2 linked regions of the Mytilus edulis genome follow. The protein of the gene in region 2 interacts with the protein of the main gene of each other region in a pairwise test. Links are inferred from orthologs where the notes say so. Each region holds a gene or a part of one and is shown on either strand. Other genes may lie near its edges.

What was found. The genes of interacting proteins can lie anywhere in the genome.
Region 1: the proteins of phosphatidylinositol-3-phosphatase SAC1-like (region 2) and vesicle-associated membrane protein-associated protein A-like interact in a two-hybrid assay, tested with the Drosophila melanogaster proteins (2 studies listed by BioGRID). The link is inferred for Mytilus edulis from reciprocal best matches to the Drosophila melanogaster genes Sac1 and Vap33.

What each region holds. Positions count from the first base shown.
Region 1 is NC_092348.1:66,991,258-66,998,717, forward strand, and holds the start of vesicle-associated membrane protein-associated protein A-like, read left to right. Parts: upstream 1-4,356; 5' UTR 4,357-4,470; coding exon 4,471-4,522; intron 4,523-6,159; coding exon 6,160-6,312; intron 6,313-7,076; coding exon 7,077-7,183; intron 7,184-7,460. Other genes in the region: cilia- and flagella-associated protein 418-like, read right to left, coding at 3,873-3,973.
Region 2 is NC_092348.1:14,407,255-14,415,359, forward strand, and holds the start of phosphatidylinositol-3-phosphatase SAC1-like, read right to left. Parts: upstream 3,018-8,105; 5' UTR 2,963-3,017; coding exon 2,937-2,962; intron 1-2,936. Other genes in the region: uncharacterized protein, read left to right, coding at 3,319-3,379. UniProt on the Drosophila melanogaster protein: Phosphoinositide phosphatase which catalyzes the hydrolysis of phosphatidylinositol 3-phosphate (PtdIns(3)P) and phosphatidylinositol 4-phosphate (PtdIns(4)P). Has low activity towards phosphatidylinositol-3,5-bisphosphate (PtdIns(3,5)P2).

The sequences.
Region 1 (7,460 bases), about 53 Mb from region 2:
TAGCATGGGTTTCGAATCCCGGCGAGGAAAGAACAAAGAAAAATTTGCGAAAGCAAATTTACAGATCTAACATTGTTGGGTTGATGTTTAGATGAGTTGTATATACATAATGTACACAGCCATGTATCACCATCATTGCTGGTGATCTGATGGATAAATCTATTGTAGAGTTGTCACTGACTCAGACGTACTTATATATATATATACAAGTCTAAATTGAAAACTACGTTCAAACCTATGATTGCGTTGGATAAAAACCACAATTTTTATACATGTGCATGTAAAACAAATTTCGTTGTAGAAGGGTCTAAATACAGCACAAACAACATTTTCCAAAAGACCAAACTAGAGGCTCTCAAGAGCCTGTGTCGCTCACCTTGGTCTTTGTGCATATTAAACAATGGACACAGATAAATTCACGACAAAATTGTGTTTTGGTGATGGTGACGTGTATGTAGATCTTACTGTACTGAACATTCTTGTTGCTACAATTATCTCTATTTATACTGATCTTGGCCCAGTAGTTACAGTGGAAAATATTTTTTTTAAATTTACCAAAATTATGAAAAATGTTAAAAATTGACTATAAAGGGCAATAACTCCTTAAGGGGTCAATTGAAAATTTTGGTCATGTTGTCTTACTTGTAGATCTTATTTTGCTGAACATTATTGCTGTTTACAGTTTATCTCTATATAAATATATAAATATTCAAGATAATAACCAAAAACGGCAAAATTTCCTTAAAATTACCAATTCAGGCATGTCAGGGGCAGCAACCCAACAAAGGGTTCATCTGAAAATTTCATGGCAGATAGATCTTTACCTGATAAACAATTTTAACCATTGTCAGATTTGCTCTAAATGCTTTGGTTTTTGAGTTTTAAGCCAAAAACTGCATTTTACACCTATGTTCTATTTTTAACCATGGCAGCCATCTTGGTTGATTGGCCGGGTCACCGGACACATTTTTAAACTAAATACCCTAATGATGATTGTGGCCAAGTTTGGAATAATTTGGCCCAGTAGTTTCAGCGGAAAAGATTTTTGTAAAAGATTACTAAGTTTTACGAAAAATGGTTAAAAATTGACTACAAAGGGCAATAACTCCTAAAGGGGTCAACTGGCCATGTTGATCATGTTGACTTATATATAAATCTTACTTTGCTGAACATTATTGCTGTTTACAGTTTATCTCTATCTATAATAGTATTCAAGATAATAACCAAAAACAGCAAAATTTCCTTAAAATTACAAATTCAGAGGCAGCAACCCAACAACAGTTTGTCTGATTCATCTGAAAATTTCAGGGCAGATAGATCTTGCTTGACCAGATAAACATTATACCCCCATGTCAGATTTGCTCTAAATGCTTTGGTTTTTCAGTTATAAGCCAAAAACTGCATTTTACCCCTATGTTCTATTTTTAGCCATGGCGGCCATCTTGGTTGGTTAGGCCAGGTGAGCTAAAAAGTGAAAAAGTATATTTAAACAAAACGCATTTGACTAACAGGTCGAACAACTGATGTTCTTTAACCCTGCTGACTGCCATTGGCGATTGCCAAATAAAATTGATCACGAGATGTACATGATGTAACAAAATGGATCTTAATAATATAAATTTAATACTAAACTGAAAACAATAAACTTGTGGCCAAGATGTTGTGCCACAAACACAAGGTGTCAATATTTTTTTTGTACACCAGATCTAGATTTCGATAATATATGTCTCTTCAGTGATGTTAGGGATCAAAACGGTATTTGGAAGGTCATATAATTTACCCTCAATTTTAGATAGACTCTTGAATTTTAAGAGTCAATATAGGAAGAACGGATCATATAAACCGGAGGGAAAATATGATACAAGCCCAAACGAAAAAATATAAACGTTGGATAAAAACCGCATTTTTTATGCGTGTGCATGTAAAACAAATTTCGTTGTCGAAGGGTCTAAATACAGCACAAACAACATTTTCCAAAAGACCAAAAAAGTGAAAAAGTATATATATATATATATATATATATATTATATATGTAAAATTTGTAAGTAAAATAAAGAGTTGTGTCAGAGTTGTCAAGGTCTTTTCATAATTTTTTCCACATTATAGAAATTCAAATCTCAGGGTATATTCAATTGTAGCCATAAAATAAAAAAATAAAACATCTTTATAGACTGTACTAAAAAAGCTTTATTTATATTTTTTCTGTAATTATTGCACGAGTTGTATCTTTCTCAGATTTGTTTTATTCCAATCTGTGTGGCTTCTTTATCAATGGGCATATCAGTGTTTCATAGATTTCAAAACCTTCTATTTACTCGCTAGTAATAACTACCAACTGAATTCTGTTTTAAATATTTTGCATAACAGGGGAGATAACTTTCCTGTAAAATCTTTTTGCAGTGGATTTAGAGTTTTTGATAACTTATGATTTTATCTTTCTCATAACTTACTCTGTATTTGTTAAGAATATAGGAGTTATTGTGATCAAATGTGCTTTTAAAAACTTATAGAAGAGCTTAGAACCAGAAGTGCCTCTGGTATATTTTAAAGAATATAAAATAAAGTGTTCAACACTTGCACAAATATTATAAGTTACTTTGTTTTGTCAATCATCAAGAATAAAAAAAATCTTTGTAATTATACTACTGAGGGGCCTGATGGTCTCTGTAAAGCAAAATATTGTCCTATGAAATATTGTACCACAAGACAATATTTCACGACTATGTATCATGAAATATTGTCCTCTCCATAGAAAAAATGTCCTGAGAAGGAAATTGTGTCTGTATATAAACAATATTTCACAGATGAATACTTTGGAATTTTGTCTTGTTAAAGGGAGGTTATATTTTGTGTGAATTAAGACAATATTTCATAGATGAATACTATGAAATTGTGTTCTGTTAAAGGGAGGTTATATTTTGGTTATATTTCGTGAGTATTGAGACAATATTTCATAAACAGATTGTCATGGAATTTTGTCTCATGAAGGGGAGGTTATCAACATATATTCATGTATATAGGATTTTTTTCTGCAACATCTGCATGTGCCTGTGTATATATTTACAAAATAAGCAATTGTCAGTACATTACTTATATTTGTACAGTATAATGTAATAAAATGAAACCTACTTTAGACAATTGTTTAATCTATAATAAACCATTTGTAATCATGGTAATGTTTCAATGCAAATTTGAAACTCACTATTAGTCAGTTAGTAATAATATAAATTCTCTACTATATGTTGTTGTTGTTGTTGTTATACAAAACAATTTCAGTTATAAATCTAAAAATGTGCATGCTGCATGCTTGTGTACTGATTCTAATTGTGAAATAATTTGATTAAAAAATGTTTTCAAAGCCAGTATTTCATAGTGAACAGGTGAAGTATTGTCATGAACAGAATTTCATAGTGGAATATTGTCCAGAAGGAGGTGACAAAATTTCATGGACAAGGACACTATTTCATTATGAAATACTGTCAGACAATATTTTATATGAAAATTTGTCCGACAGACAATATTTCATGGAGGACAATATTTTATGTTACATCTCATCACCATTCTCAGAAAATAAATTTCCATCATCATGTATCACGAAAATATATTAAAAAAAATCTGTAGAAAAACTGATCATGATAGCAAAAATGCACCTATCACTAAGAATGACAATGACCCATCAGGCCCCTCACTACTCCTTGTGGTATATTATGTTGATAATAACATGATTTACTTTCATTTCTGATTTTCATTGTACACACTGCTCTCTTTTTATATATCTCAAAGACTTAACCTGACAACATGTACCTATTATAAACATGACATGATCCAGATTTCACATTTTAAGTTTATTTTAAAACAATATTCAAACAAACCTTGATTTTATACAACTTGATGTCTCTTTGCCTTTTCTTCTATCTTTAGGGCAGTATTTTGTTTCTACTTCATCTAACAAATCATCTATATCATCAGCCATTTTATATTTTAGAAATTAAAATAAGATGAACAAGAAAAATGTGCTACTTAGCTGTCACTACCAAACATTTTTCTCTGTACTTCCTGTGCTTACTGATTTAAATTGCTTTTGCTACTTTTTACCTTCAAAGAATTAAAAAAAGGTAACAGATAATATAAGGGTGAACTTGATTTACAAACATATGATTTTTTTTATCTGGAATCGACCTGTTGTCACAACTTTTTAAATCCACTTGAGTTTTTAAATTGTAATATTTTCATTTATACAAACTGTTTAATAGTAATATTTTTTCAGAAATAAAGCATAAAGGAATTGAATAATTCATTGGATTATTAATTTATTTATTCTGGTTGTAAATTCGTTTTGTTCGTAATTTTTGTATATTTTACAAATGAGTAATGAGCGCATGCGTATACCACGAAACCAGTCTGGCAGATGTGACTTTTATATTTCATTGCATATATTTGTTTAATTCTGCACCTTAAAGTCAAATCGTTATGGCAAAGCAAGTGCTGAGATTAGACCCAGACATTGAACTCAAATTTAAAGGTAATCGCTCAACAGTTCGCTGACTTCATAATGAAAATACAATTGTATGACCCAATAACCGGCCGATGTGGCGATACCACCCTATCCAATACAACTAATTTAATAGTTTTATTAACTTAATACCAATCTAAAGCAATTAATATCTAACGCGTTCTCGATATATAAAAATTATCTTGAAAATGATTGTGTTCTTAAAATATATCTCAACCTCATGACCATGTCAACAACTTATTTTTATTAACAAAATAAGAAAGTTCAGATAGAACAAACCTTAACACTATTTGGAAATCTGTCCCGCATTCAACTATTACTTTTCCATCGTAGCTCCTGATATTTTCTATCATAACATCAAAATTTATTGGAACTTTAATTTTGTGATGTCTAGTAGTGGCAGTCAAATAGCAATAAAAGAGGGACGAAAGATACCAGTGGGACAGTCAAACTCATAAATCCAAAATAAACTGACAACGCCATGGCTAAAAATGAAGAAAGACTATTAGAAAAACAATAGTACACATGACACAACATAGAAAACTAAAGAATAAGCAACACAAACCCGTAAAGTGTACAACAACTGTTTATCCTTATTTTCACTGTGGTGTGTCCTTTTACTAAATTTTGTGAGAATCTGTATGCTGATTGAAACTGTTTCAAAACATTAACATTTTTCACCTCTAGGCTCTTTTTCTTAAACCTAAATCATCTTAATACAGCCTTGTCTCATGCCAGGGTTTTCATGCTATTAAGAATGCAATGTTACATCACGATTTCAATTGAAAAATATGCAAAGTGCGAATTAATATGTCATATGAAAATACATGATCTGACCATACTGCCATTTTCCAAACAGCTGACAATAACATGAACAAGCTTAAGGGAGAAGGAAATTTCAGGGAACTGATAATATTTGGCCAGTTATGAGAAGACAAGAAGGTGACTCTTCACTATATTAAATCATCTACTAGTCATGCTGGTGTATTCTGCAGGAGTCTCTCTTGACACTGGGTGGTTGTTTGAATGTAATTTAAAATTACCAAGTTTAAATATTAATTTTCCCATATACTTTACTCATTTAAAATAATAGGTTGCAACTGTACATAAAATGCCGATAGTAATGTCACATGAAGTTTACGATAGAAGTAAGGATACCATTACAGGTTCAAACAGAAAAAAAATAAAATCAGAGAAAACTACACTTTATAAGCTGTATGACTTTATCATGTTTATCAGATGACAATATGAATACTAAAAATTAAGCGTAGGTACTTTAAATCAGTCAGGGATTCACTTTGTCACAGGTGTGTTCTAGATCTATCAAAAATATGCAACACCATGTACATCATCACTTTCTTAATGTACATATATCTCAAAATATTAATACATGATTTATACATTTATTATATTTTCCGATTAATGAAAATAAAAAATATTCTGACTGGATTACCCAATAATTTTATGGCAAGAGACCCTATTACTACTTTTTTGCAAAGTAAAACTTTCATGACTGTAAACTGCATTAATGATTGTTAATAAAAAATAATTTGCTCATTGAAAAGTTCAACATTATAAATTACACTTGAACACACATACATAAAGTTTTCATTATCTCTTTTTTCAACCCATTTCTTTTATTGTAGGACCATTCACAGATGTTGTAACATCAGAATTGAAGTTGACCAACCCCTCAGACCAGAAAGTATGTTTCAAAGTAAAAACCACAGCACCAAAGAGGTACTGTGTCAGACCAAACAGTGGCATCATCGATCCAAACCAAAGTGTTAATGTATCGGGTAAGAGCTACATATACCCTAAACAATCTGAACTGTGGTGCTAATCATATTAACTTTATATTACAGTCATGACAGTTGCTGTATTTATGTACCTTTACAATGCATATGATTTGAATATGAAGTTGATTGTGATTTGTATGGAGAGTTGTCTCATTGGCATTTGGCACTCATACCACATTATGATCTTCTTGTTTACATGTATAATGTATATATATAATATGGACTACACTAAACAATAACAGGATTTCTACAATCTAATCTTGTCCTAAAAAGTATGTACGCCATACCTGCCAACTGTCACTATTTGCGGGGGATTTCCCCCATGGAGGCTCCCAAATGGAAATTTTGAAAGAGCAATTTTGTCCACAATTTTAAACAAAACAATTAATTTTACAATGACTTTAGGCTTATAAAAGTATGAAGAAGCCAAAAAAACAACATTAAAATGTATCTGAAAGCCCCCTTGAAGGTTTTTTAGGACTATAACAGCCATCTTGCATGCAAAACCCCCATGGGCATTTTGAAAAGTTGGCAGGTATGATGTACGCTGATATTGTGGACATTCATTCTACATGTTCTATTAAATTATTCTCTGTGAATAAGCAAATTTAAAATGCATGGGATTTTTTTTGAATCTATGCAATATTTGAATAATCATTAAAATGAGATTCTCAAAATATGGACTAAATTGTGAAGAAGGGTAACATTTAACAACATGTTTGTAATTGAAGTATTTTGTACTTAATAACTTTGATATATTTCAGTAATGCTGCAACCTTTTGACTATGATCCATTGGAAAAAAATAAACACAAGTTTATGGTTCAGACTATGTTTGCTCCAGATGGCCCAATTGAAAGCCAGGAACAATTGGTATGTTTTGAGTTTGTACTCGTCCTAACAGAAATAGGAGGCTGATTATATATTTAAAAATTCAGTACTAGCATCATTATCACTAGTTTCTACAAACAAAACTAATTTGAAGATCTATATTGTTACCGTTACAGTAAAAAAAGACTGAGAATTTTAACATCAGAAATATCACCAGCAGCTGTATTTTGTTGCCAGATGAAATAAAAAACCAAAATGCAACCTTGATGACACCCAGCACTGTCCCTGCTAGTGATATTGTAGATAAACCATTTGTTGA
Region 2 (8,105 bases):
ACAAATAAACACATATACAAAAAAATATTTTAGTGTCGAAATTTTAGTGAGGCAATTGCCTCACTTGCCTCAATGGTAGTTACGGCCTTGTGATGTACTGAAAATTCCACATCTCGAGTGAGAATCGAACTCGGGACCTTCAGTACTGTAGCCATCGGTCTTAACCACTAGACTTTTAAATTTTATTTAAGTTTCAATGTAGATTATTATACCTTACATTATAAACAATTATGTGATTGACTAATACAGAACCATGAGTCATAGTTTAATTTTGATGTTTATCCAAAAATTGACAGAAACGATGAATAACCCCAACAATTTGAAACCTTTTCTTGCAATAAAGAATAATGGTCCGAGACCACAATTGTCGTCCCTTGATTTTCGTTGTTCACAAATATAGTCCCTAGTGTTGACAGTGGGTTACTTGCCATTAATTTTTATCATGTTTATACCCCTTCCAAATTTATTTCTCCATGTTTTAATGCCTCATATTGCAAGTAGGGGGGTGAAATTACACTGTAAACAACATGAACAAATTTGGGTCCAGAATTTTAAAGGAAAGTAGTGATTTGGTCCAGGTGAAAAAGGTTGAAAAATAGCACTTCGGAAGCTGTCAAAAGATCATTTCAAGACGCCCTAAAGATAAAATTGTCCATATTTTGAGTTAGAGGCGATGAAGTTTTCTATAATTTTGATATAATTTGTCCCAAAAGTAGTACAACACACTGTAAAAGTTTCTTTGAGAAAGCGCAGGTGGGATTTTTTAAATTTTCATTTATGTTGTAAAAGAAATGCACTACGAAATAATTGTGGTCTCGGACCTAATGGATACTCATATAACATGTTTTTTTTTATCTACCCACAACTATTCAAAATATTGTCAACTTGCAGAAAAATATATATTGCCAGATATATTCCACAGTACAAAAAAAAACAAAAAAAAACCCAAGTGTTATAGAAGCCTCTGATGTTAAATGAAAAAAAAAAATACAATTAATTATTATTATATACACCAAACAAAAGATCAAACTATAAAGACCTTGTTGATTACGTAACTTTAATTAATCAGGATTTGATTGAATTAAGTGATTACGAGTGGCATCACCTTAGTTCACAATCATCAGACAGTTGTTGAATAAACAAACCAGTTATAGACCCATCGAAACAACATCTGATAAACAAATTTAATAATACTTTTAGATATTTGGATGATATTTTGGCTCTCAATAATGACGACTTCAGTATGTATATTAATGAAATTTATCCTGTTGAACTTACTTTAAATAAAGCTAATACTAACAATGACCACAGCCCTTTTCTCGATCTTCATGATCTTGATATCTATATCACTAATGGAAAGCTGAATACTAAAATTTATGATAAAAGGGATGATTTTTCATTTCCTATCGTTAATTATCCGTTTTTAGATGGTGACGTTCCCTTGTCACCATCTTACGGTGTTTTTATATCTCAACTTGTACGATTCGCTCGTGTATGTAACAATGTTTTAGATTTTAATGAGAGAAATTTATGTATTACTGAAAAATTATTACACCAGGGTTTTCGATATCACAAACTAGTCAAAACATTTACTAAATTTTATCATCGGTATAAAGACATCATTCGTAAATATAGCTCAACATGCAGACTTCTAATACGTTCAGGTATTTCACATCCAATTTTTTATGGTAATATTCTTTATAAAGCACAAAGGTGTCAGTATTCACCTCAGAAACTTACAAAACCTTTGAATAGACTTATTAAGAAGGGATATAATTACGATACTGTTGTCAAGTCATTAAAGATTGCATATGTTGGCGTTAATATTGAGTCACTGATAAGGTCTTTGCATCGGAACTAAACACATTTATTCTAAAAACAGTTGTTGGCATGACACGGGTTATGTTCTTCTCATATATGTTATGATGGTATGATACTAAACCCCTAACGGGAAGGATTGTGCCTGATGTTCATATGATGAAATCATAATCTTTCAGTCAGTTTAATTAAAGTCTGGAGCTGGCATGTCAGTTAACTGCTAGTAGTCTGTTGTTATTTATGTATTATTGTCATTTTGTTTATTGTCTTTGGTTACATCTTCTGACATCAGACTCGGACTTCTCTTGAACTGAATTTTAATGTGCGTATTGTTATACGTTTACTTTTCTACATTGGTTAGAGGTATAGGGGAAGGGTTGAGATCTCACAAACATGTTTAACCCCGCCGCATTTTTGCGCCTGTCCCAAGTCAGGAGCCTCTGGCCTTTGTTAGTCTTGTATTATTTTAATTTTAGTTTCTTGTGTACAATTTGGAAATTAGTATGGCGTTCATTATCACTAGACTAGTATATTTGTTTAGGGGCCAGCTGAAGGACACCTCCGGGTGCAGGAATTTCTCGCTACATTGAAGACCTGTTGGTGACCCTCTGCTGTTGTTTTTTATTTGGTCGGGTTGTTGTCTCTTTGACACATTCCCCATTTCCATTCTCAATTTTATAGACTAATGATTTGAAGTCATTATGATGTGAAATTTTAAAGGTTCCATTGGACTGTAAATATTTATTTAGCTATTCTGTGTGTGATCTAAATAAAATAAAAATCAAATTCCATTTAAAAATTTATACTATTAAAATTTGTCACAAATTCCTCCAAAAACAATATAGTTTATTCATATTTTATTAAGGGGCCGGATCGACATGGGACCGGATCGACGTGGGCCGGATCGACTTGGGGCCGAATCGGTTTGGGACCGGAACGACCGGATACCTCTGAATGACAGTCATGACGGTTTGATGCCGACTTGACTTGTCTGAAGATCATGACTTATTGACTGTATTTTCGAAAAGCAATTTTCCCGGTTTTTATGAGCTCTATGATATTTTACAATTAATGCATAGGTTGACATTCGTTTTCTTTAACGACTAACAAATACATACAGAGTTAATGAATCGTGGACAGACATTGTCACTGGTGTGATCGCCGATCGCCTGACGTGACAGTTATGTGTTATCTCCCCTTGGTTTAAAAGCTAAATTAATGAAAAATAATTAATCCTTGTTTCAGCAAATTTTCGAAATAAAATTTCTAGTTGTGTATGATTCAAGGATAAGTGTTATTAGCAGTAATTTAATACTTGCTTTTTCGTTACCTCACTTGACTAAATTTATCAAAAAAGTTATATATTTTCGATAAAAAAACGTCTCCGGTGCTGCAATACATAATTTGTATATGACATCATAATTTTAGATTAAGTTCCGGCAAGACCCTCTTTTATAAATATAGAACATAGTGACATACATCTTAGTATAGACATACACAATGTTCTGGTATTTGGCTTTTTGTTCCCTTCCATTTGTTCTTGGATCTTATAGTTCCAAGTGTAAGTTTTCAAAATAGTAACACATTTCTAAAGTTTGTAGTAAACATTGAGTAAAAAATATGTGTAAGGGGGTCTTATTTGGGGGGAGGGGGGGGGGGGGGGGTGTTCTTATCCCCCCTCTAAATATAATCTTTAGAGTTAGCTAGGATATACATATATGGGCTATTTCAAAAAAAATGATGCCTTTCCTTTAAACCTTTGTCAGTCTCTTGTATGATACTATATCTGTAATGTTTTTAGGTCAGATAATGTATTATGATTAGTTGGTCCTAACTACCAAAGATAATAGCAGTATGTGCTCTGTTTAAAAAATATTGTCCAAAATTGTACCTCAAAATGTCAGGAGTGTAACGCTTTTAGTGTGACATTTAGAAGAAAGCATGTGCATTCATTGATGATATAGAATAAATAAGGGCAGATACAATACCAAACAATATCTTTCATCCAACTATTATATCTTTACTATGATTTCTTGTTTAATTCTTCCATATATTTACATTTTTATGTGCCTCATAAGGTAAGTCAAATAAGTTTGTGTTTAAAAAAAAATGTTAGTAAAAGTCAATATGCTGCCAGAAAATGTCTTTGTAGGTGAAATAACATGTTTCTGTACATCTTGCACGGTTTATTCTTTTAGGTAAGTATCATAGCTTGGCACAGGTGCATCCAGTTGACCCTGAAGTTCTACTACTGGAATATTATGGTTACAATAAGAGGACTACCCAGGTCTGTCAGGAGTGTAACAACTGGGTTAAGATGTATTTTTTTTAGAAACAATGTTGTTATAGTTGTTGTTTTTTCTTGTTTTTCAGTGAACATTACCTGTTACAGTTTATCAGTAACAAACATGCCATTATTATGACCTTCATTGCTTTTGTATGCTCAATACTTCAATGTCAGGAGTGTAACACAAAAAAATGCCTTATTTCAATCTTATTAGCAAAGGTAAGTTATTGGAAGAAAAACAAGCTGACAATTATTATAAAATGACATTACTACACCTCAGCTTAACACAGAATACAAGTCTACATCATTACTTTTGAAATTTTTGAACTAAAATTGCAATTGAACTAGCTTGTTTAAGTGTGTTACAGTCCTGACATACAAGTATTGAGCATAAACAAGCAATAAAGGCCATAATAATGGCATGTTTGTTACTGAAAATATGCAACAGATGGTGTTCACACTCAAATTCCAGAAAGGAAAACCAATAATAACAACATTGTTTCTATAAAAAATAACATGAATGTTACACTTAAACATTTTAAAGCGTTACACTCCTGACATTTTTGGGTACATTTTTGGACAATTTTTAATATACAGAGCACATACTGCTACCATCTTTGGAAGAACGAACAAACTTATCATAATACATTATCTGACATAAAAACAGCATATATATAGTATCAAACAAGAGACTGAACAAGGTTTAAAGGAAAGCCATCTTTTTTTTTAAATAGACAATTAGCAAAATTTGTAAATATGTAAGAAGTATATAATTTTCTTTAACCTGTTCTTAATTTGCACTAAAATAATATGTGAAATATAAAGACTCTACATGATTTCAGGTCAGTTTCAGGTTAAAATATGGTAGAAATAAATTATGGTCAGGAGTGTAACATTTGTTACACTCCTGACAAGTTTCTGATGTAGCTTATCTATAACAAAATTCAACATGATTCTTTATTAAAATAATTGTAACATCTTTACAATGTTATGAGAAAGCTGATCTGTCTTGTAAAAGTGATTTTTCTGCACACTATTCACCAAAGATTCTTAAAAATTAAAGTGTAATTCTCATTAAACATGTTAAAAGTTTGCTCTTTGCTCAGAAATTAAAAAAATATGTAATCAAATATCTAATAAATTTATTTATTTGTGAGATTGTAAATTTAAAATAGATATCATTACTGATTTTCTAAACATTCCATTAAAAAACAGTCTTACAGTTACTGAAAAAATATGTCAGGAGTGTAACAAAAGGATAACAAACACATGTTTGTATTTTTTAAATGAAGAAAACTTAGAATTGACTGAAGCAATTGTTGTGAAATTTTCAGAGGATGTAATTAGATCATATATGTTTGCTTCCTTATACTTTTTATATAAAATTAAAGCTTTTGCAAAGAGATATAAAAACTTTTGAAATAAGATATTAAAGAATACACTAAAAATTGGTGAAATTTACATATTTAAAAAAAAAAAACTGTTTATAAGTAAAAAAAAATTGCAGGAAAATCATTTAGAACCTTTATTGCAACAAACAAAAAAATTACATTGATATTTAGATTCTTATTTATGTTTGTCAGTTGATATTATTATTATGTTGTTTCCTTTGAAAAGTGGATGAATTCTTATGAGTAAAATGTTGTTAAAATTTTTGTTTTTATTATTTTGCATTAACCCTTGGTAGTTTTGTAAACTTGAATGTCTCTGGATTAAAGAAAAATGATAGAAAAAAGATTAGCAATGACTTAATTTTTTACCATGTTTGTCACACTTTGGCATCATTTTTTTTGAAATAGCCCATATATGTAACAGCCAAAAAATATGATAACCTTTCAAGATGTCATATTAATTTGGACGAGCAAATAACATAAAATTGAGAATGGAAATGGGGAATGTGCCAAAGAGACAACAACCCGACCATAGAGGGTACTTATAAAGTGAGAAACGGAATCGAAACGAAACGAAACGAAATATAACGAAACGAAACGAATTACAACGAAACGCAACGAAATACAACGAAACAAAACGAAATATAACGAAACGAAACGAAATGAAAAAATGAAGAAACGAAATACAACGAAATGAATCTGACCCTTATGTTATGCAATTGTGTGGTGCTGTTGATGTAGTTATCATTGTTACAACCACGCTAAAACAGTATGTAAGATGAAAAGAAAAACTCCTTTGATCTCTTAATTGAGGATTGTAAATTAATTTATTGTTTATTGAAAGACTGCATACTTTTCTACAACCCCGTGTGGACGTGCTACCCGTTCTGACGTACAATATAACACTTTGATGTTCCAAAAATACTTTTTAAAGGCATTGTCTTTCATCCTGTCGGCTCCCTTTATCATGCCTGAGTTTATATATGGGTAAGTTGTGAGCGTGAGAAAAAAAATCAAAGGTCTTTGAAGTTTTCTAAAACGCATTCAGCACCAGATGTTGCACGGGCTCCAGCCAGGTATATATAAAAGGAATATTTTTTATTCAACCGTTATTACGCAAAATGGAGCCCAATGAGAAGGAAAAGAAAATGTAAGTACCCTTATACATGTACATTTTAAAATTTATTTCGACAGTGTTAGTAGTTAAGGAAACAGAACTTAAAAACATTTTGATGTTGAGTCATTGCAATTTTTAGTAGCTAACCAGCTGATATCTGATATCTTTATAGACCATAATGGCAAAATATTTCAATACATGTTTACCCCGCCACAGTATGCATGTATGTGTATATGTATGTGCCTGTCCCAAGTCAGGAGCCTGTAATTCAGTGGTTGCCGTTTGTTGCTGTGTTACATATTTGTTTTTTTTTTTCGTTAATTTTTTGTACATTAATTAGGCCGTTAGTTTTCTCGTTTGAATGGTTTTACATTTGTCATTTCGGGGCATTTTATAGCTGACTACGCGGTACGGGCTTTGCTCATTGTTGAAGACCGTCCAATATAGGAACGAACTATATTATAAAAAGCCGTTGAAAAAAATCTTTTGGCCTTTATATCAGAAACGGAGAACTATTGGGTACTACGGGAGTTTTTAACGACCTTGACTGGCTATAAAGCCCTTGCACGGTCGGTACTATTGGGGAAAAACAAGTTCCTATCCTAATATTTTTTTTCGAATATAAGTACTTACATAGCATTATTAAACTCGGTAAATCCGAGAAACTTGAGAAAGGGGAGATCATTTTTTCTTGTGAGGGGCGTCACCATTTAAAGTTTTGTGTTCGTGACTCTTTCTGCACGGCAAATTCAATCCCTTTTACACCACCCGTATTGAAATCATGGACCTGCCCAATTACAGGGTCGTTGAAAAGACTTCTTTATACATGACATTTGTATAATTGAATTTGAAAATATCTTTTCTATATAATAGTTTTATTTTGAAGTATTTGTATTATGATTGAGGAAAATTTCTTTTGAACTAAAAGGGCTGGGGAGGGGCAATATATTTGATGCTTTTGAAGAGGGTTTCGTTTCTTCATTTTTACATTTCGTTTCGTTTCGTTTCGTTGTATTTCGTTGCGTTTCGTTGTATTTCGTTTCGTTTCGTTATATTTCGTTTTGTTTCGTTTCGATTCCGTTTCTCACTTTATAAGTACCCGACCATAGAGCAGACAACAGCAGAAGGTCACCAACAGGTCTTCAATGCAACAAGAAATTCTCGCACTCGGAACAGTATACCATCCAGGAAGTACAATGTACCAGTAGCACTTCCAATATGAAAGACTGGGAATTTGGTTTCGCTTTTGATGTCCAAATAGACAAAAAAACAACCTTCATGTACATGATGTATGTAATTATCATGATTATAACATGTGTAACAAGAAAGTTCCAAATTGTTTGTGGTTATCTTGTGTTACCTCCATATACAGTACTGACATTGTGTCTTGGAAGGGTCCATTTCATATATACAGTACGCCCAGAGGGTATGTAATCGCGAACTCTAATCACCGATTTCTGAGTGTAGCGGTGTGACACCGCGAATCACGGAT